Schizosaccharomyces pombe: one gene and its partners. Changing the gene in region 1 together with any one later gene gives a genetic interaction. Each region holds a gene or a part of one and is shown on either strand. Other genes may lie near its edges.

Region 1 (8,296 bases):
AATCGTCGGTGGATATATATTCTGAGGCAAACGACGAGGGGAGAGTTTTTGTAGCCAGTGTTTTAAGAGCGGTGAGTGAGTTATGGTCGAAGCAAAAGTAACTCCAAATACATTTAGGAGGAGGAGGATGTGATTTATCAACGCTTTCAAGTTCGGAATAAAAAGGAGGTGACTTCAAAATGAAATGATCCATCTCAGAACCTGGTTCGTAAGAGTCTTCGAGTAAAGGGATAAGGTTGTAACGGGGAAGGTTACCATCGCTAGTAAATGGTTCATTGCAACAAGCTTTAGAAAAGAGGTTGATAACCTAACCTTGGCCGGTCATATCCATTGCATTGTGCTGACCGACAAACGTAAGCACGAGACCACCAGTGATGAAACTGGCTTGGACAAGGAAAACTGGATCTGAGCCTAACGTTTGTTCATCAGGATCTCCTGGAATCGTTTTGCGAGGTGCGAAAATACTTTCGTTCAGCATACTGAAAGGAAAATCGGCTTTTCTGAGCGCGTCCATGGAGGGTATAGAAGGGACATGCTGAAGATCTTTGACAAAGAAAGGAGGCGTTTTCTCATACGGTTTAATCTTGAATATATTAAAGCTTTTTCCTTCTGAACTTTCGTGAACAACCTGACCAGCTAGCCACGGAAAACTGGCTGACAGACGCTCAAGTCCATTTGTCAGCGTCTCAATAATTGCTGAATGTGAGGAATCATCATCGACTATTGGAAAACAAAAGGATATCTGGGTATAGATTTTAAGTGATAATTGCTGTGCTAAAACATCCGCGAAATCATAGTTGTTTCATCCATGATATTGGTTGCACTAATATGTAGTGGGCTGATATAGCGTACATGGGTATGGTATGGGTACGACTCTCTGTAGCAGGCTCAATTAAGCAGCTTGCTTAAGAAAAGGAACTGTAGGGTTTCTCAATACATTTTGCCAACTGAAGGACCATGTAGCATTGAGTATTTTTTGTAGGTTACAAGGTAATCGCGGCAATGTGAGTTACGTGTTGAAAGAATTTTGGAGTCGAACTCAAGTCCAGCAGAAATGTCTATTTTTATACATATTGGCTCAACCTCCATCTACACTCATATGTTAAAATGGTTAAACATATAACGCACTCAAGCACATTAGAATCCATCAAAAAAACAATCAAGGGTTACAAGATGAACGTTTATGGCTTAAAAAAAACCATCTCTGCATCTAACTGCATCAAGAATTCTTAACCCAAATAATGTACGTCGAGCTATTAGTAAAAGCCTGTTTTTGTTTATAGTCTTAATGTTTAACTAAAAAAGCTGGGTCTCTAGGGAAAAGTATACTATTAAAATCAGCAAATACGGTATATTTTAGATTTATAGTCATGATTATTCAATAATTCGTTCAATATAAAAGGCATAACAAAGAGTAATAGGCACTGCTAATAATTGTGCATTTTTTGAAATAGTCAGAATCCTCTGGAGAATAAAGTGCTATCTTCTTATCAGATGAAGATAAACTCACTTAGGCCTATCAAGCAAAACGTAACTTTAGTAACAAAAGGAGCTTGAAGATCTTAAAGATAATTTGTATTAAATCATAATTGCTAAATAAATTAATAAAAGGGAATATGTGGTATTGGAGTTTCGCCCGTAATTTTGGCAGTTAAAAAATGGCGACACGGTTAAAACAAGTAGGTAAGGGTGGGTAAGTAGTTTTGAAGATGGAAAGAATATTGAAAGGTTGCAACAGGTTAGGCTGTAATTTAAACAAGTAAAAAATCACTTTTTATTATATTCACAGTTTTTTGACTTTTTTTTTTTATTTTCCAGTCGTTATACAAGGATCGTCGTAAACTAAGATACAACAGGGTAAGTTACTCATCGCTTTCAGGTAAACAAGAACACTGTCTTTTTATGATGATTCATTTTGAATTCGGACACAAAAAGCAGAAACGGGAGACCCAAAGAAATCAAGCTTTTCGTACTACTTCAAACCGGAGGAATTAAGTCTTAAACGGTTCAATAATGCATTTAATATGGGCAGAAGCACATAACGATATCCCACACTAGGAAAGCCCAAAGCAAGGCTAATTAATCCAAGCAACGAACCAAACGTCAAACTAAACATCAACGAGAATAAAAGTACAATTAGGCTAAATTTAAGAAATACACTTTGATGTTTAAACCATTGATAGCCCTCTTTGGATACCTCTTCAATAGACGAGTAGCTATAGCGCGACATAAGACTAGGACGACCATCATTTTCTAGATGTGGAGATTGCCCAATTGGAGATTCATCCTTCAATTCTCTTTTGATATCGATATTCTGTTCAGTCATTTTGTTTTGTGGCAATTTAGTTTAATATTCAATGTGTTCCAAAAGAAAAATAAACGTTAATAAAGGTAACTGTTGTATTATTAGACAATAGTCCTTAGCAATCTATTTAAATGTAACAATTGCTTTAGTAATTTATACTTTTTCTCTTTTAAAGTCAGTGAACCGTTGTTGGGAAAAGTCAAGAATCAAGGTTAGAAACATATACGTATTCATTTTATTTACGCCTTCCCCCACATTGGATATTGCCAACAATGAACAATGACATTAAACTTCTGCAGAGGCGAAAATAATGCTATACATTCATTTTATTTATTAAAATGATTTATGAGCGAATTGCCTTCTTCCAACAGTCAAACTCGAATTCCCCTTCACTAAAACATACGGGAACTGTTTTGCGCAGTGTCCACTATTGGGAAATGGAAAAATCGAATTTGCTAGACGAATATGGATGGAATTCTTGTCTATTCCTTTTTCTATTTTTTGTTTGATTTTTTAAATAAATTAGCTTGTTTATCGAATTTATCTGGATGGGGTTTATCGTTAAAAAAAAACACCCTACCCAAAAAAAAAAAATTTATTTATTTTTATAAGTATTTTTATTCATTAACCTTCTTCTGGCATACGAGTCACAATCAACCTTTTAATTTTGACAATAATATAATAGAAATAAAATAAATTTTCAGTCGTGGTAATTTCTATTACATATTCGTTTAATGTAATGTGTTTTGACATTACTAAAATGGGATGAAAACATCCTTTTACGAGTCTATTTAATCATACAGAAAAAATGGCATTGAAGATGCAATTAATGAATGGAATTCATTTGATAAATGTATTCAATGGAAGGATAATGCTTCCAAAATAAGGATGGTCAAAATTTAACTCAAGATTGTTAAAACAAGGTTGTAATCGGAGTTTTCCGTTTTATTGAAAAACATATCCCCTTATGTCTTATGACTATTTTAATTGAATAACATAATTCAAATGCCTTTTGTTGCCTTCTATGCACATATGTGAACGTAAATCTAGCGCATCATTTTATAATACAGTTAGTAGGCCGAAACATACAAGCATATAACAAAGATAAATCAACTTCTTCGAGGAAGCATATTCCCTTGATCATGCTCAACAGTTTCTAACTTCAATACAAGCTTTTTTTATTCATTTATTTAACTATTTGTTGCTACACATACTAGTTTGTTTATGTATCATATTCATTGTCGGCATGGCAACGTGGATTTATTTACGCGCAGCGCGTACTCATTTAACCAGCACCACGTATATTCATTTTTACAAATACCCAGCTTATATCGTAGTGAGGAGGCGAATTTTGCGAAAGAAAGCATTTCTTTCATTTTAATATTTATTAATTTTTTGTTTATTTTTGTTCTTTTTTGATTCCCCTCTTTTTTTTGTCTTTACTCTTTAATTTCTTTCTATCTTTTTCTCCTAATCATATTAAGCTTCTTATGTTCTATTCAGAGGCCATTCTTTCAAAAAAGGTATGTAGTTTATAAGTTTTCTTTAGCGCGTAAACAGTGCTAATTTGTCTTTGAATCGTCTGACTAACTGTTCGCGTTAGGGTCCTTTGGCCAAGGTATGGTTGGCAGCTCACTGGGAAAAGAAACTTTCCAAAGTGCAAACTTTGCACACCAGTATTGAGCAAAGCGTCCATGCAATTGTCACGGAGGAAACCGCTCCAATGGCCCTTCGCCTATCAGGACAACTAATGTTGGGTGTTGTTCGCATTTATTCCAGAAAGGCTAGGTATTTATTGGAGGATTGTACGGAAGCGTTGATGCGTTTGAAAATGTCCTTTCAACCGGGTCAGGTTGATATGATTGAACCAGCTACTGCTCTCCAATCTTTAAAAGGTAAAGATGCTGTGACACAGAGCGCTAATCTCACTCTTCCTGAGACAATTACAGAGTTTGATCTTTTGGTACCTGATAGTACATTTGATTTTCAATGGTCTCAACTTCTTCGTACACCCTCTCGTTCTTCGAACACTCTTGAACTACATTCTTTACCAATATCTTCCTCTCCTTCTTTTCCATCTTCCCAGCTATCAATTGAGGCTGGACGAAATGCCCAAGTAGAATCAGGGTTTTCCTTGGGCGAATCATTCGCACATGTTGGCAATGATATGCAGTTTCATCTTCCCATTTCAAATTCCGGTGCTGCTACACCTAGAAGTGTGCACTCTGATAATCAGTCCCAAATTTCTATAGAAGTAGGTAGAGATGCTCCTGCTGCTGCTGCCACCGATTTAAGTGGAATTATTGGGCCTCAAATGACTAAGTCGCCGGCTAGTTCAGTCACTCATTTTAGTACGCCAAGCATGCTACCAATAGGAGGAACTTCATTGGATGATGAATTGTTGGCTCCTGTTGATGATTTAAACCTGGATTTGGGCTTAGATGATCTTTTAGGAGATGAACAAGGTGCTAATGCTCCGGCGATAGAGGCTGATGAACAAGCTGAAACATCAAGTATTCATCTCCCTTCTGACATTATGGAAGATGATTCATCTCGTCCTGCAGCAGCAGGAGTAGAGGAAGGTCAGGTTGTTGAAAGCGCCACTGCTCCTCAACAGGAAAAGATCAATCCACAGAAAACTGTACGTCGTCAACGTGCAATTATTGATCCCGTTACTGAATTGTCCTCCAAGCAAATGAAAAAACAATTGGCAGATACATCTTCCATCACCTCACCGTTATGCTTGAATACATCTTCCATCGTGTTTAATGCCACCGTTAATTTTACTCGAAACGGTAAATTTAATACTTCCATATTTTCTTCCAACCTGAACCCTAAAGTAAACGAGCTTTTGCAAGCTGATTTCAAACAGGCAATTCTAAGAAAGAGAAAAAATGAGAGCCCAGAGGAAGTCGAGCCTGCCAAGCACCAACGTACTGATACCTCAACTGAAAACCAAGAAACTGCTGAAGTCTTGGACCCTGAAGAAATTGCAGCCGCTGAGCTTGCCAACATTACTGAAGCCGCTATCGCTACTTTACCACAAGAAACCGTTGTTCAACCAGAAGGAGAAGCTCCTGAGCTTGGTTCGCCAATGGGATTTCCTGTTACTGCCTTGGAATCAGCCGATGATTCACTTTTTGACGCTCCTCCCGTAATGCTGGACGAGGCCGATTTGCTGGGAAGCGAACGATTGGACTCTTCGGTATCTGAGGCCCTTCCTAGTTCACAAACAGCCAAAGATTCTCTACGCAATAAGTGGGATCCTTATACTGAAGGTGAAAAAGTATCCTTCCAAACTCTTAGTGCGGGATGCAATAGAGAGGAAGCTGTTCAACTTTTCTTTGATGTCCTCGTTTTAGCGACGAAGGATGTTATATCTGTCAAGCAGGATGTTGCCATTCAGAACGAAATCACGCTTACTGCTAAACGTGGAATGCTACTTTCATCACTATGAGAGGTCGGTTAATATTTTTTCAAAATCCAATTAGATCTATAAATAAGTGTGAATACTTACACGAAATAGATTTTTATGACAGTAATATTGTTCATTGCTTTCTTTTATCTTTATTTTATTTTTGGAATCACGAGTTGTATGTCTTTCTTTTTCCGAGTTACGATATTACTGTTGGATGTATGTAATATTATCAGCTCAACACAAAGTTATGATTAGAAATAGCTTACGCGCTTTTTAATTTATTCTCAATGATTGATCTATCTCTTAAAAATCTTCCTTTCAATGCGATGATACGGGTTTACTAGGATTGAATATATAAAGACAATATGATCATATTATATTAGGCGTATCTTTTTTGTACCCAATGGTTGAGAATTTGGAAGCGAGGAAGCTACGGTAACTTGCATACCTTTGGAGCGCGCCCAATCTATTGCATCTCTAGAAACAGAATCACAATTAATAATATCTATACGTTTTAATTCTTTCAGTCCTCGTAAAACTGCTATAAATCCCGATCCATCGAGGGATATTGAATTTGAAAAGTTCACATACTTTAGATTTGGACAACAATCAGTAATGTGTATTGCATGCTTATTTTGAAGAGCAACGTTATCAGGAATCTCAAGATGCTCAAGTTCCGGTAAAGATGCAAATATTTCAAAGAAATGGGGGGCCAATGCTAGCGAATCGTGTAGAACCAGCTTTTTTAGTTTGTAACAAGAAGTCAAAAATTTGACAACATTATCGATATCATTTTGAGATAAACGAAGATAAAGAAATAACTCTAAGTTGATTAGTGATTCCATCCGGACATTTGTAGGGAATAAATATGGACATAAAATTGTAGATGCAGGATTGCAGGGTTTCACAATTAACGTGGTAAGAGATTGAGGAAGGAATGCTAGATCTTTAACAGTATTCGATACTCCTTCATCAATGATAATTAACGATCGGAGATTAATTTTATATTTTTTTATTGCAGCAACTAGGTCTGACTGATATGAGGCTTCCAGATATTCTAAATATGGACTGGCAGACAGCAAGTCTTTAAGAAATTGCTGTTCTTTATGGTGAAAGGGAAACTTTTGATTTCGGATAAACGTCAAAGATTTAAGAGCCAGCGGTACAGATTCTGCATTAAAGAGTTTATCCCAATCCATAGAATCAAATATCAAATCGGGAATTAAGTCAACAAGCTCAACCTGCTTGAGTTTCTTACAGCAAGATAAAATCTTAGAAGCTATGGAAAATGTTATAGGAGTAGCACAATAAAAGTAGTGAAGTTCAGAAAATGGCGTCCAAATTGTATACAATTTATCCGTTGACTGAGTGTGGAGAGGTGAAATGGTTTTGTAGACTTTAAGTGATTTGACTGAACGAAGTAAGGCTTTGGTAGGTGTTAATATACCAAGCTTCTCTAAGCCAATTACTTCCTGTATATTGTCTTTTGAATAAACAGAGTATCGAGCAACAGCCATAACGTTTCGATCTCTAGAGTTTACACTTCGAGGAGAGGCGCATGAAAAGTCTAAGCAACAAAATAAGCTAGGTTCTTTCTTAATACAGTCTCTCCAGTGTTTGCAGACTTGCATACACTGAACAATACTTTTGAAATTTAGTTGCTGTAGAATACATAATAGGACTTCTCGGGGAAGAATGCGAAACAAATCTAGTACCGGCCTGGTCCGAAGAATTCTTTCATTCAATCTTTGGCTTACTTTTTTTAATACCGGTCTCAAGGGATCCATTTTATGCACCATTCGCAGGCCTTGCGTATACAATTGATCTGCTTTCTTATCAAAGCCGTCAAGCTGTAAAAGTTTTCCCAAGCGTAGGTAACCTCTAGCATTTCTTGCATTCAAATGAATCATCCGTTTAGCATCAAGTTCTGCTTGTGAGTATTGACCTGACTTTTCGTAAACTTGAGCCCTTAGTTCAAACAAGTCAATCGTAGGATTGGGCTCCTGTTCGATGGTTTTAGTAATGAATGTCAATGCATCTTCAAACTTCCTTTTAGAGAGATATTGCTGGGTCTTCTCCTTTATTGCTTTTACTTGATAGTTATTCATGAATCCAAATCTTAATTTCTATACCCAACGATTTATTTTTTCTATACATAAACATAAACCTCCCATATAGCTTCCAATGAACCGTATTTTAAGAACCTCGATATCCTTTTTGAGGTATATATTATGCTTTCGTAGTCGCAAGCTTTATGGAGTAAGTTAGAATTGTTAAAGGATAGTTAAAGCTAGCGCCTTCAAATTTCATTTAAACAGAAATTGAATGTGCAAAAATACTAATAATAAGCATGTAACCAAAAGTTTGGAAAAAAAAGTATCTACTTATTTGTTATGCTTTTCATATGTTAAAACACGTAAACAATCTCAAGCAAAATTAGCATACGGTAATCGATCAAAAAATATTTGGGTTTAACTATTGAGTACAAAACAATAAAGTGATTAAAAGATAAAGCAAGGATAGCTTCTTATATGGTGTTTACTATTTTGCACTGAAGCCTATACCATATACGA
Region 2 (7,851 bases), on another chromosome or scaffold:
CTTTTTCCAAAGTTGAGGAGTTCGCAAATAACTCTATGCCCTCTAAAGTTGGAATGTATGTGCCATTGGAGTCGAACACAGTCTATCAACATTCACCCACTTATGATACTTACGGTTGGCAAAGTATGTATCCCTCTTATTCCGTTTATCCCTCAAACTATGAAAACAGCAGAAGTACTACGCCATATCATGCCCATCCCGCTACTTCTGCTGCTAATTAAATTTAAACATCTTTCCAGCATTTACTTGAACATCAAACTCTAATATCGAAATCTTTTCAAACACTTATCACATACTCAAACTTAAACCAACATAAAACCTGTTAGACAAAGCTTACAATTAAGGGCCAAAGCTTTCTTTCTATGTTTTTTCTTTTATTTATTATCAGGTTATATAACAAAGGTCAAACCACTACAGTATTAATGAATGATATTATACATATTTGCTTAATCGTATAAAAAGAGAGAGGTATAAATAGTCCTTGAGTGTTCAAGATAATTGCACACTGTGAATTAAGAGGATAAAAGGGATGCAAAATTCTCCTTGATTATCCAACCATCAGATACTGATTTTCCTTTACGCACAGCGACTTTTCCAAGAGTTTCGCTGATAATATTTTTGGTTACGTAAGGAAACATGTGCCTCAAATTCTCGATCAGGAATACTTTGTTGTCATGAGAGTTACGGACATATTCTATAAATTTGGGTATATCTTCAGAAGGAAACCTTACTTGTAAATCATCAGAAAGTGAACTGGTAGGTCCAATTGTCATTCCACTAGACGCTGGAGCAGTATCTTGAGAAGCCCATAAATCCTCTTTAGGATCAATTTGGAGATATGTAGATGCTGAAAATGAACTAATGGGTTCAATTAAAGATAAGCAATTAAAGTCAGGAAGAAACTTTGAATCCCAAACCGGACCTTCTACGATTACCTCTAATGGGCCGGAGGAACGATGGGTATTAGAAGCATTGACACTATCCTTGTCATCATCCTCATCATCCACAAAAGCATTATCACCATCCTCTACAATATCATCGGAATTATCTACCTCTTCATCTTCACTTTCTAAATCTTCTCCATCATCTTCCTCATCAGCTACCCATTCTGCTTCTGAATCATATGTGTAGTCTATGTCTTCATCTTCAAGCCAGGGATTCAATAAAACGTTAGAACCATGGGAATGGGTTTTCGTGTAAGATCCAAAATATGGAGGGCGAACATCCTGATAAAAGAAAATGAATTTAATAGGAATCTGTGATAAACAAGATAAAATTTCTTGAGGTTTTGAAACAGATGGATCTTGATATGCGCTCATTAATTGTCGAACCTCGTTTTCGGAATTTCTATTACTAACACCTAAACTGTTTGCGGAGCTTACAGCATCTGATGGTGTAAAAATGTCGTTTAGCTTTAAAGGATAAGATTTAGAGGTTGAGAGGACTTCATCCAAAAAAGAATCAGATTCGTTCGGAGATGGATATTTGGAAAGGGACATCTGATGCTTTATAAAAAAAGGGCGAAACTCTTTCTCAAACTCATTCAGTTCATCCGTTTTGTCAGCTACAAAATTTTCGTTTGGCGCGATTCGTTTCTCAACTCCTTTGGTGAAAAAGTTGTTTAACTTCAATTGTTGTCTTTCCTTATTAAGGATTTGTTCTTGACGAAGGCGCTGTGCTTCTTCTTTCTCACGAAGCTTTTGATCCCTCTCCTCCTTCCGCCTTTGTTGTTCCTGCAATCGAATCCGCTCCTTCTCTAATTTCTCTAATTCTTTCATTTTCTTAGCGGCGATTTTTTCCTGTTCTCTTAGCTTTTTCTCTTGCTCTCGTTGTTGACGTTCCTTTTCACGTTTTAAACGCTCTGCTTCTTTTTGTCGAATCCTTTCCTCTTGGGCCCGCTGTTTTTGAAGCTTCTTTTCTTTACCCGCTTCAGCAGAGCCATTATAAATTCTTTTCTTTCTATTACCCTCATAACTTAATTTGCAAACGTACTCATCAGCTTCACTTGCAGAGTGACTGGAATGAATAACCGATTCATTCGGGGAACTCACTGATAAAGACGTAATGTCAGTGGAAGAGCTACATAACTCATTTCCCTTATTACTAGTAGAGGCCGCGACATCTGAATCAACACTTTCACTATTCATAGACAATGCTGCGAATATCAATAACAAGCCTAAGGGAGGCTAAAAACCGTGCGTAAGTTGTTTTAACGGACGCTCTGATCGAATAAAGAGGATAAAGGAGAGTTCGTAAATTATATGTTAATATTCTATTATATACATCACTATCCCAAATCTGTCTCACCAATCTATTATTCATCCATCTTAACGCTTATATAATTGAATAATTTAATTCCTTAGTTCTAACAAGATATGTACTGATTGATCTGAGTAGCTTAAACATCAAAGTTTTTTGCGAATGGGTTAATATGGTGATTTGTTATATATTTTACCTGACTACGATTATATAATATTACTGCTACATTGCATTACGATATTAATGTTAATATTTTATGGCTCATCTATATTATGATTGAGTTAATATCAGTTGACGAGAATTTTCTTTGAAATTATTTGCCATATTTTTTAACTGGTGATTGGAGTACCACAAATTCATTAATAATGAAACAAACGGATGTTGTTATCATCAATTTTCTTCCTATTTATATGCAGCAAACTTCTTTCAATAACGATGCATCGTACATATATAGGCAGGGGCTATGCAGCTTAGAATAGTAATTCGCTGGAAGGATAATATCATAATAACGAGGTTCTTGTTACAGTGAATATCAAGTTGCACTATATATTATATCGTGGATTTCTGAAACTTTATGAGATGTAATCGTAATGAGTAGGTAACAATATCTAATCAAGTAAAGACGCGTACGCGAGTTTCATACACACCTTGTACATTCCTTTTACCAAGTTTTCCTAATGGGACGTTTACTAAGACTGGAAGTTGAAAACTTTAAGTCTTATCGAGGACATCAAATTATAGGTCCTTTTGAGGACTTTACCTCGATTATCGGTCCTAATGGAGCCGGAAAATCGAATTTAATGGATGCCATTTCTTTTGTTTTAGGGGTCAAGTCTTCTCATTTACGATCAACTAATGTTAAAGAACTGATCTATCGGGGGAAAATACTGCAAAGAGATAATACAGATTTCACTGATTCTAGTAATCCTACTACAGCATATGTGAAACTTATGTATGAGTTGGATAATGGGGAGCAAAGAGAGTATAAACGCGCAATCACTCCTTCTGGTGCTACTGAATACAAAATTGATGAAGAAATAGTTACGTTTTCTGAATACTGCGGATCTCTCCAAAAGGAGAATATTCTTGTTCGAGCTCGAAATTTCTTAGTTTTTCAAGGTGATGTTGAAACCATTGCTTCGCAATCTCCTTTAGAACTTTCAAAGCTTGTTGAACAAATAAGTGGCTCTCTGGAATATAAATCTGAGTACGATAAATCTAAAGACGAGCAGGACAAGGCTGTAAATTTATCTGCTCATTCGTTTAACAAGAAACGTGGTATCAACGCTGAGTTACGCCAATATCAAGAACAGAAAACTGAAGCCGAGCGTTATCAAAGTCAAAAAGAAAAACGAGACTCTGCGCAGTTAGTTTACCTTTTATGGAAACTCTTTCATCTAGAGAAAAGTATTAGTTCTAATATGGCAGAGGTTACTCGATTAAAGGCAGATTCCATTCAACTTATCGAAAGGCGAGATGAGAACACTAAAGAGATAGAAAAGTTGAAAGAAAAAGAGGGCAGTATACGAAGAAACCTTCTTGCATTCGATAGAAAAGTTCGAAAACAAGAAAAGTTGATTGCTTCGAAACGTCCAGAGCTCATTTCAATTGCCGAGAAAGCCCTAGAGTCTAAGTCAAATCTCCGAAAAATTCAAAGAAAAGCTGCGGAAATAGAAAAAGATTATTCTGACCAAGCTAGTACGTTACAAGTATTAGAAAATCAATTGACTTCACTCTCAGCTGCTGAAAAAGAGTTTTTAAAAGACATGCAGGAAAAAGAGCAACTCAAAGGGTTGCGATTGTTACCAGAGGATAAAGAGGAGTATGAAGGACTTCGAAGTGAGGCGGACAAATTAAACTCAAATCTATTGTTCAAATTGCAGACGTTAAATAGGAATATTAAAGTTACTTCTCAATCAAAGGATTCATTAACGAGCATCGTTGGAGACTTAGAGTCGAAGATTAAAAGCCTTCATGAAAGTGTTTCTTCTCTTGATACCGAGCGAGCGGATTTGCTTGCTAAAATAAATGAAAAGATTGAAAGTTTGGAACTTGAAAAGCATGATCAGCAGAAGAAGAGGTTGACTTATTCTGAGCTTTTTCATAAAACACAAGAATTAAATGAAGAGCTTCAATCTTGTTTACAGAAAATTTTAGAGGCAAGTGCCGACCGCAATGAATCCAAACAGGATGCTAAAAAAAGAGAAGCATTGTATGCTTTGAAAAGGATATATCCTGAAGTCAAAGGAAGAATCATTGACTTATGTACTCCTACTCAAAAGAAATATGAAAGCGCAATCGCTGCTGCTTTAGGCAAAAATTTTGACGCAATTGTCGTCGAAACGCAGGCAGTTGCTAAAGAGTGTATTGACTATATAAAAGAGCAACGCATAGGTATTATGACCTTTTTTCCAATGGACACCATAGCAGCCAGTCCCGTTAATCAAAAATTTCGTGGAACACACAAAGGCGCCCGACTTGCAATTGACGTTTTGAATTTTGAGTCTGAATATGAACGTGTAATGATTAGTGCAGTTGGAAATACACTCATTTGTGATTCAATGACTGTTGCTCGAGACCTTTCCTATAACAAACGTCTCAATGCCAAGACAGTTACTTTAGAGGGAACGGTTATACATAAAACAGGGTTGATTACTGGTGGATCTTCAAACAACCGGTCGGCGAAACACTGGGATGACCATGATTTTGATCTGCTTACTCAAACAAAAGATAGACTTATGCATCAAATTGGTGAAATAGAATATCAAAAGTCATCTTGTGTGATTACAGAAAGTGATACTGTCAAGTTGCATAGTCTTGAATCTGAGATATCTCTACTCAAAGACAAATATACAGTAGTTTCTAGATCCGTGGAAGACAAAAAAAAGGAAATTGGACATTACGAATCTTTAATCAAAGAAAAACAGCCTCACTTGTCAGAATTGGAAATGGAACTTCGCAACTTTGTTAAAAGTAGAGATGAGCTTCAAATTCAAGTAGAAAAGGTTGAGGAAAAGATATTCTCCGGGTTTTGCAAACGAATTGGGATAAGTGATATACATACTTACGATGAGATACATCGCACTTTTACTCAAAGTTTTACACAAAAACAACTCGAATTCACCAAGCAAAAATCATTACTTGAAAATCGTATTAGTTTTGAAAAACAACGTGTTTCAGATACCAGGTTACGATTAGAGCGTATGCATAAATTCATTGAAAAAGATCAGGAATCTATTGATAATTACGAGCAAAATCGGGAAGCACTTGAATCAGAAGTTGCAACTGCCGAGGCTGAGCTTGAATTATTAAAGGAGGATTTTGCAAGTGAGAACTCTAAAACTGAAAAAATTTTATTAGCTGCATCCGAGAAAAAGCTAGTGGGCAAACGATTAGTGTCTGAGTTAACAAAGTTATCAGGAAACATTACTCTTTTAGAATCGGAGATTGACCGCTATGTATCTGAATGGCACGCAATTTTACGAAAATGCAAACTAGAAGATATAGATGTTCCGTTACGCGAAGGATCTTTGACGAGCATACCTATAGATGATGTCTCAAACAGCGGTGATATCACCATGGGCGAAGAGCCGTCTGAACCAGTAATAAATTTTGAGAAATTTGGAGTAGAAGTGGATTACGATGAACTGGATGAAGAGTTACGCAATGACGGTTCTGAGAGTATGGCTTCTGTTCTTCAAGAAAAATTGAGAGAGTATTCGGAAGAGCTGGATCAGATGTCTCCTAATTTAAGGGCTATTGAGAGACTTGAAACAGTAGAAACTCGCTTGGCGAAGTTAGATGAAGAATTTGCTGCTGCTCGTAAAGCAGCCAAAAACGCAAAAGAACGCTTCAATGCCGTTAAGCAAAAGAGATTGCAAAAATTTCAAGCTGCCTTTTCGCATATCTCGGAACAAATCGATCCAATATATAAGGAACTTACCAAAAGTCCTGCTTTTCCTCTTGGTGGAACAGCGTATTTGACTTTGGATGACCTCGATGAGCCATATCTTGGAGGAATCAAGTTCCATGCAATGCCACCTATGAAGAGATTTAGAGATATGGATCAACTTTCTGGAGGAGAAAAGACCATGGCTGCTTTGGCTCTGCTATTTGCTATCCACTCTTATCAGCCATCCCCATTTTTTGTATTGGATGAAATTGATGCAGCTTTGGATCAAACCAACGTTACCAAGATTGCCAACTATATTAGACAGCATGCATCCAGCGGTTTTCAATTTGTTGTCATTTCCTTGAAAAATCAGTTGTTCAGTAAATCAGAAGCTTTAGTGGGTATTTATAGAGATCAACAGGAGAATTCTTCACGAACATTATCAATCAACGTAAGGGATTACTTTTTCTTAATTTTAAAATACTAACGAAAAACAGTTGGAAGGTTATGTGGAGTAAATGATAATATTAACCTGTGATATGCTGCTTAATGTCTGTGTTAATATATTCTAAGAATACTTTATGTTTAATAGGGATGGCAAATATATATTTGCGTAATTTATTTATTTCTAACGAATTTAATTTTAATTGTTTTAAGTTTCCTTCTATAATTGATCAAGGACTTTTTTAATTTACAACGCTTTTTCTTTATGTCCTTAATTGATTTTGTCTCTGAATTGACTGGGCTAATGATAGAAACATTAATTATAAGTCACAATTGTCAGCTACGTTTATGTTTAATCCCTAGTTTCAAGGAAGTTGGGTTTAAGTGAGGTTAATGTTTTCAATATAATTCCAGTAACGCAGTTACGCTTAGACGATTCGGCTCACCCCTTGACTGTTTGTTAACTAATGAATTTGGCTGCATACAATTTTGAGAAGTCTCTACTATTCTAGAAGGCTTTCTCCGGAAACTAACTATTGCATTTTCCTTTTTAGTTTAACAGTATTTGCAGTCACAAACTAGCAAGAATACTTTTAAGAATAAACGTTTTATTAGCGACGAATAGTTTAAAATATGTTTAAACCCAACTAGATGCTAACCGCACTACATTTTTAAAACCGCAGCTTATAGAACTTTAAAATATTAATTTTGCGCTTGAGTTTTCCTCATACAGCTAAATTCAATGATTTGGTAATGGTTGATTGATTCACCGTAGTCTTAGTTAACAATCACGATAGATTTCAAACAAAGAACTTTAAAGAAAAAAACTTACTTATAGTATTATCATGATTTTAATGATTTCGATTGAATAGATGTTTAGAAAAGAAGTACACCAGCATACTCAAACAATGATAGCCGGCTCCTTAAATTATTTCACACATAAACAATAACAAAGCCTTTTATATTTATCCTTTCTTAATGATAAAGTAAATTTTATACTTGTTCGTTTTGGGCCTATCGACTGCAAGAATATATTTGTTGATCAGATACACAACACACTTCCAAGGGTACTACGTTAAAACTGTTACAGAACCAACATCTCGATAACGCACCTGCATTCTTTTGGTGCTTGACGAATGCTTTAAACATGGGAATTAAAGGTCTTTTGGGACTTTTGAAGCCTATGCAGAAAAGCTCTCATGTCGAGGAGTTTTCTGGCAAGACTTTGGGAGTTGATGGATATGTTTGGTTGCACA
Region 3 (5,651 bases), on another chromosome or scaffold:
GTGATGTAAGCTCAGCAAGGCTAGCATCATATGTTAATGAAATAAGATTTCTCGCAATATAGTTTGCGGCTTCGTTGGTACCAGAGTTCGGAGGTGGCTCAAAAAATAATGTTTTATAACATGACAATACATGGTTCTGAATGTTGTTCCCTTCGTCGGAGGTTCCTTTTACCCAAATTAAATGAATCATTTTTTTTATATATAATTTTGAAGACGAAATTCCAAAAGAATTGCAAAAAACAAAGAAATCCATTGACTCAATTACCTCGCTCTTATTTTTAGCAAACAACAACTGGCTTATTATTTTTGCTCCCGCTTCCACAATGTCTATATATTGGAGTGCTTCTAAATAAAACCGTTTCGTTAAATTCACTTTGACTATTTCCTCAGCAGGAACAGAATCGACATATTCGCTTAGAGAATTTTCCAAGTGACTTTCTCCTTCATGTGACTCATCATCTTGGATCATAGTAGCATCCTCTAATAAGTTTTCATCGACTTCAAGCTCTGAATCTACCACCTTTTCTTGTTGCTTTGGTTGTAAAGAATTAAGCTGTTCCTCGATGATAGATAATCCTTTCTCCCAAATATTTCTGGTTAGTAAGCCATTGTGCATAACTGAAAAAGGATGGGTAGTTAAAAGTTTAGAAAATAACTTAATTGCATTTCGGCGGACATGACTTGACCGATCTTGCAAACATCTGATCACGAGTTCCGCGATTTCTTGACGTTTTCTGGGATACTTAATTGGTAAATCAAATATTTTGATAAAGACGTGAAGTACTTTAGTACGACAGTAAGGGCTTATATCTAGTAATCGCTCACTGAGAAGATCCATTAAGCTTTGAACAGTTGCTGGCACTGACTCTGACATTTCATTTTGAGCCTCATCATGAATTTGATCAATGACCACATTAGCAAGTACTTCTATGATAGCGCATCTCAGAGTATATGATTCCGAATCAAGCAGCTTAACTAATTGAGTAAGCTGTTTCAAACATAAGTTTGGAATAAGTGAAGAAAGACGGACAAGAAACAAAGCGACTTGCTTGGGACCTTTAACATCGTTATCATTAAATTCTAGAGAGCACAATGTTCGAATAATTCCTTCAGCCAAGGTAACGGAATTAAACTGAACGGTAACAATATGAACAAGATCAGCAGCATACTCAGATAAATGCTCAAAGTATTGTAAATTTTGAATAATATTTGTCTCCGCTGCAGTGGTATGGTTATGGAATTGAACAGCAAGCCCGATAATATTAAATAAACGAGAACGGAAAGAAGCATTTTTTATGTTAATTTCACTTTCCATTAACGTGTATATTGGTTTTAGGAAAAGTGAAAGAAACATGTCTCTTTCCGAAGAAGTAGTCCATACACGAGATAATTTTTTTTGAAATAATGTTATGATTGCATCTAACAAAGCATTTACATGTGAGATACCATTCCAGTTAGAGTTAGTAGTTGGATTTTTTTTTCTTCCCTTAACAGTATTAGTGGATGACCGAATAACTGAAAGTTGATTTGAGGAAGAAAGGGAATTGACCGTGAGCTGAAATGCAATGCCTGTAGTTTCTAAATTCGTTTGAGGTACAGTAAAATCAGTAGCATTTGCGGAAATCATATCTTCAAGAATAGCGGATTCAGAGCTGATATTACTCGTGAGTAAATCATATACTTTATTCCTTACAGAGGAAGAGAGGTCAGCAAAGTGTCTAAACCATTATTGTTAGTTTGGTAAAATTGATATATAGTAAACCAAATGGCTTCCTTCTATTTGAATAACACAAAATAACAACTACTTACGAACATATAGCAAAGAGTTTTTCCAAGCAATCCTCGTCGAAACAAGAACTCGTTCCTAATAAAAGGGTATCAATGACGTCTAATTTTTCATTGTTAGTTATTGTGGAATCGATCATTTTCAATTTTTTTAAAAACCCAAATGTCCATACCGTTAACCACGGCTGTCAATCCAGCATTTTCACATTCAGCATAAATCGAGTCCAAGTCGGAATTTTCTTCATCATGAATGTATTTCTTTAATCTAGAAAGAAGATCCAACGACATTGAGGCCACTGAAAGCCGAATCTTTCTATGTTACGAATGAAATAAAAGATGGATTTGGCGTACTACATTCTAGTAGTCCTTGTAAACAATAACCCCACCTATATGTCCTGTGTGGGGGTCCATTTATACTTTCTTACTAACAAAAAAGAGCTACGGTTAGTCAAAATATAAAATAGGAGCTAGACTTAATTGTTGCTAACCACTTTAAGGATATAGAACGTGCTTTTATTAACTCATTTGTTTACATTAAAAAATAATATTTTAATTAACTTTTATTGAGCGTGCCACGTAAAAGCTATTGTTCTTTTTAGTACTTCTAATTAAATGTTTTGAAAAGAATTTAATATATTTTTTGAATAACGTTAGTTGTAAATTCTTTCTTGAGCTGTATTTCTGATATAAAAACTTATAATTTATTTTGGCGCATGTATCATTTTCAAGGTGATTTTCAAAATTATTATGAATGCAAATTTTGACGAGGTAAGCATTTGTGCTGTTTTTAGAATTTTAAAGTAATACACAATAAACTAAACAGAAAACCTATCGTAGTTTAACTAGGAATAAATTTCAAATTCAGGATAATTTTTTTATTTATTTTTAAATAACAGAAAAAAAAAACGTGTTTGAATACCATGGTTAATCATATTTACTCTCAATGTCCAATAAATAGTCAATTCTAGTTGTTTATGGTGGTTATTAACAATAACAAGAGCCCAAAGGATTTATGTTTTTTAAAGCAAGTCCTAAATTTAAAAAAAGATAAAGGACATGAAATCTTAATCTTTTCCATAAGTATACAAATATTATAGCAGAGTACTTTTTTTATTAAACAAAAGTTGGATTAAAAATGTATTTTTCTTGTTTGGAAGTAACAATGTCCCTCATTAGAAGAGCATTTTGCTTAACAATGTACAACTGGTGTTGAACCTGGAATCTGCAAATTCTTATATTCATGGAATGAGTTTGTGTTACACATTTTAAAAACTTGATTTTTTTGAATCTTAGTATTCGTTCGCGTGTTCGGTTTGAAGGTTTAAAATACGTGAAAATTTGTTTTTTCTTGGTTCCTTCCCTTGGCAGCATTTTACCATTTAATTGACGACTCTTTTAATTTTTTTTAAGTTATTATTTGGTTTAAAAATATATGAGTTAAACCGTTAACATGGCAGAGGCCCATATCACACTATCACCTAAAGTAACTCATGAACAACAAACAGATATTGATTCTGAATGTGAAATCACTGAGGTGGACGATGAAAATGTAAACGAAAACAAATCTCAAGAAATGATTCAAGATATCCCTGCACGAGACCGCGAAGAAATTGAAAATATCACAAGGACGTTCGTAGAGCTACAAGAGAACTATCGGCTAATTGAAAAAATTGGAGAAGGTAAACTTCAATTACCGTTTTTAGTACTGTTTTGAAACTATCTTGCTAATTCGTTTAGGTACGTTCTCCAGTGTATATAAAGCGGAAGACCTACATTATGGGAGGTATATTAATGATTGGGACATTCAAAGTGAAGTGTTAAAGGAATCTTCTTTTGGAAAAGAAAAAATTCCTGTTAATGAAGACAGCCGGAAACCGAAGTACGTTGCTATAAAAAAAATTTACGCGACAAGTAGTCCTGCTAGAATATACAATGAATTAGAAATCCTATATTTATTAAGGGGATCGTCGGTAATAGCCCCGCTAATAACTGCTTTAAGAAATGAAGATCAGGTACTCGTAGTTTTACCCTACTACGAGCATACTGACTTTCGTCAATATTATAGCACTTTTTCCTATCGCGATATGAGCATTTATTTTCGATGCCTTTTTCAAGCTATGCAGCAAACTCAGACTTTGGGAATCATTCATAGAGACATTAAGCCTAGTAACTTTCTCTTCGATGTTCGTACCAAGCATGGTGTCTTAGTTGACTTTGGATTAGCAGAGCGTTATGATGGAAGACAACAATCACATTCTTGCCGGTGCACTAATTCAAATGCGGCCGAATTAGCACATGATTTTTCGATTGCGCAGGAAACATCTCTTGGATACATAAAAAACGATACTCGACCAAGCAAACGGGCCAATAGAGCCGGAACTCGAGGATTTCGAGCACCTGAAGTATTGTTTAAATGCTCATCTCAATCACCCAAAGTTGATATTTGGTCTGCTGGGGTTATTTTGTTATCTTTCCTTACTAAACGTTTCCCCATGTTTAATTCAAAGGACGACGTGGATGCACTCATGGAGATAGCATGTATATTTGGAAAAAGCGAAATGCGCCAATGTGCTGCTTTACACGGTAAGAACGATCTAATGTCCCTTACGGAAGTGTTTGTGTTGATTTTTTTCGCTAACCTGCCAGGTTGTACGTTTGAGACAAATGTAAGCACGCTTACAGAAAAAAGAGTAAACTTTAGGAAACTTATTTTGTGGGCCAGTTGTGGTTCAGCCAGTATATACAAAGAAAAGCTTCGTCATAAACCAAGCCAAGAAGAGCGATTGTGCCTGGATTTTTTAGAGAAATGTCTTGAACTTGACTGTAACAAAAGGATTTCAGCTGAGGAAGCATTGGATCACGATTTCTTGTATCTCGATAATTTAGCTTACGAAAAGAAAGATGACGATACAGCTTTTGATAATAGCTTTGGAGAAACCTCTTTCGAGAAAGACGAAGACTTAACTGCTAAGCACTTATCCCATATCCTTGATTTTAAAGAGCAGGAAGAAACAGATGAACCTACTTCTTTATCAAAGCGGAAGCGAAGTATTGATGAAATTTTACCAAATGATGCTTTGCAGGATGGAGCTTGAGAAGATTTGCTGGCAATTTCTCATCAAGCAATCACTTATATTTGTGCATACATTTTCATTTACAGTATAAGCATTACTGTAATCATTGGGTATTAAAGTGAAAGCATTATTGTATGTCTATACATCGAAAATACCCTATGGAATTTTTGGGGTGCATTTTCAGTTACAAACATTAATCCATAATTAATTTTACCATAGCATAACGAACACATATCAGCAGGTGAGGCTTTTTCACTTACTGACTTAATTGAAATAAAATCTCTATACACTATTTGACCAGAGAATAACACTACAGATTGATCATACAACAATTATATTCCATCAAAGTATAGACGGATAAACGAATCAAACAAAATTAATTTTATTAAGCCACTAAGCAATCACAGGATGTTCTTAGGCAATGAGCTCAACGACACCACCAGCTTGCTTGATCTTCTCTTCAGCACGACGAGAGACATAACGTGTTTGAATGATGACGGGAGTATCAGGCAGACGACCCTTACCCAAAACCTTACCGTAACCAGATTGTAAGACATTAATAACGGGGGCAACCTCCGTGTTTTTACCAAGATACTTTTCACGAGTTTCGTTGGGAACCAAGGTCCAAAGACGATCCAAATTGACAGTAGGACGCCACAAAGGATTCTTCATGAGGTGGAATCGACGCATACCAACCTTACCAAAGTAACCAGGGTGATACTTATCAAAGTGACTACGGAGGTGTTGCAAACCACCGGCCTTACCACGACCACCGGGATGCTTCCTGTGCTT

Evidence for each region.
Region 2: of rad21 (region 1) and psm1, a mutation in one rescues a mutant of the other (synthetic rescue), as found in Schizosaccharomyces pombe (3 studies listed by BioGRID, with this or other methods).
Region 3: mutations in rad21 (region 1) and hsk1 are lethal when combined (synthetic lethality), as found in Schizosaccharomyces pombe (2 studies listed by BioGRID, with this or other methods).

Annotation. Positions count from the first base shown.
Region 1 is NC_003421.2:1,339,297-1,347,592, forward strand, and holds rad21 (mitotic cohesin complex non-SMC subunit Rad21), read left to right. Parts: upstream 1-3,596; 5' UTR 3,597-3,795; coding exon 3,796-3,828; exon of another isoform or gene 3,829-3,908; coding exon 3,909-5,762; 3' UTR 5,763-6,097; downstream 6,098-8,296. Other genes in the region: SPOM_SPCC338.18 (uncharacterized protein), read right to left, coding at 1,973-2,326; F-box protein Pof3, read right to left, coding at 6,098-7,831. UniProt on the Schizosaccharomyces pombe protein: Cleavable component of the cohesin complex, involved in chromosome cohesion during cell cycle. The cohesin complex is required for the cohesion of sister chromatids after DNA replication.
Region 2 is NC_003423.3:2,537,807-2,545,657, forward strand, and holds psm1 (mitotic/meiotic cohesin complex ATPase subunit Psm1/Smc1), read left to right. Parts: upstream 1-2,909; 5' UTR 2,910-2,936; coding exon 2,937-6,602; exon of another isoform or gene 6,603-6,648; coding exon 6,649-6,669; 3' UTR 6,670-7,351; downstream 7,352-7,851. Other genes in the region: spo5 (meiotic RNA-binding protein 1), read left to right, coding at 1-221; histone H3-H4 chaperone, CAF assembly factor (CAF-1) complex subunit A Pcf1, read right to left, coding at 513-2,147; exonuclease I Exo1, read left to right, coding at 7,743-7,851. UniProt on the Schizosaccharomyces pombe protein: Involved in chromosome cohesion during cell cycle and in DNA repair. Central component of cohesin complex. The cohesin complex is required for the cohesion of sister chromatids after DNA replication.
Region 3 is NC_003423.3:3,196,560-3,202,210, reverse strand, and holds hsk1 (Dbf4(Dfp1)-dependent protein kinase Hsk1), read left to right. Parts: upstream 1-3,009; 5' UTR 3,010-3,235; coding exon 3,236-3,464; exon of another isoform or gene 3,465-3,522; coding exon 3,523-4,368; exon of another isoform or gene 4,369-4,431; coding exon 4,432-4,880; 3' UTR 4,881-5,151; downstream 5,152-5,651. Other genes in the region: condensin complex non-SMC subunit Cnd1, read right to left, coding at 1-1,718, 1,810-1,888, 1,959-2,073; rpl2801 (60S ribosomal protein uL15), read right to left, coding at 5,274-5,651. UniProt on the Schizosaccharomyces pombe protein: Required for G1/S transition. Plays a role in DNA replication checkpoint signaling through regulating rad3 and cds1. Involved in the maintenance of mitotic chromosome structures during S phase through regulating the function of rad21.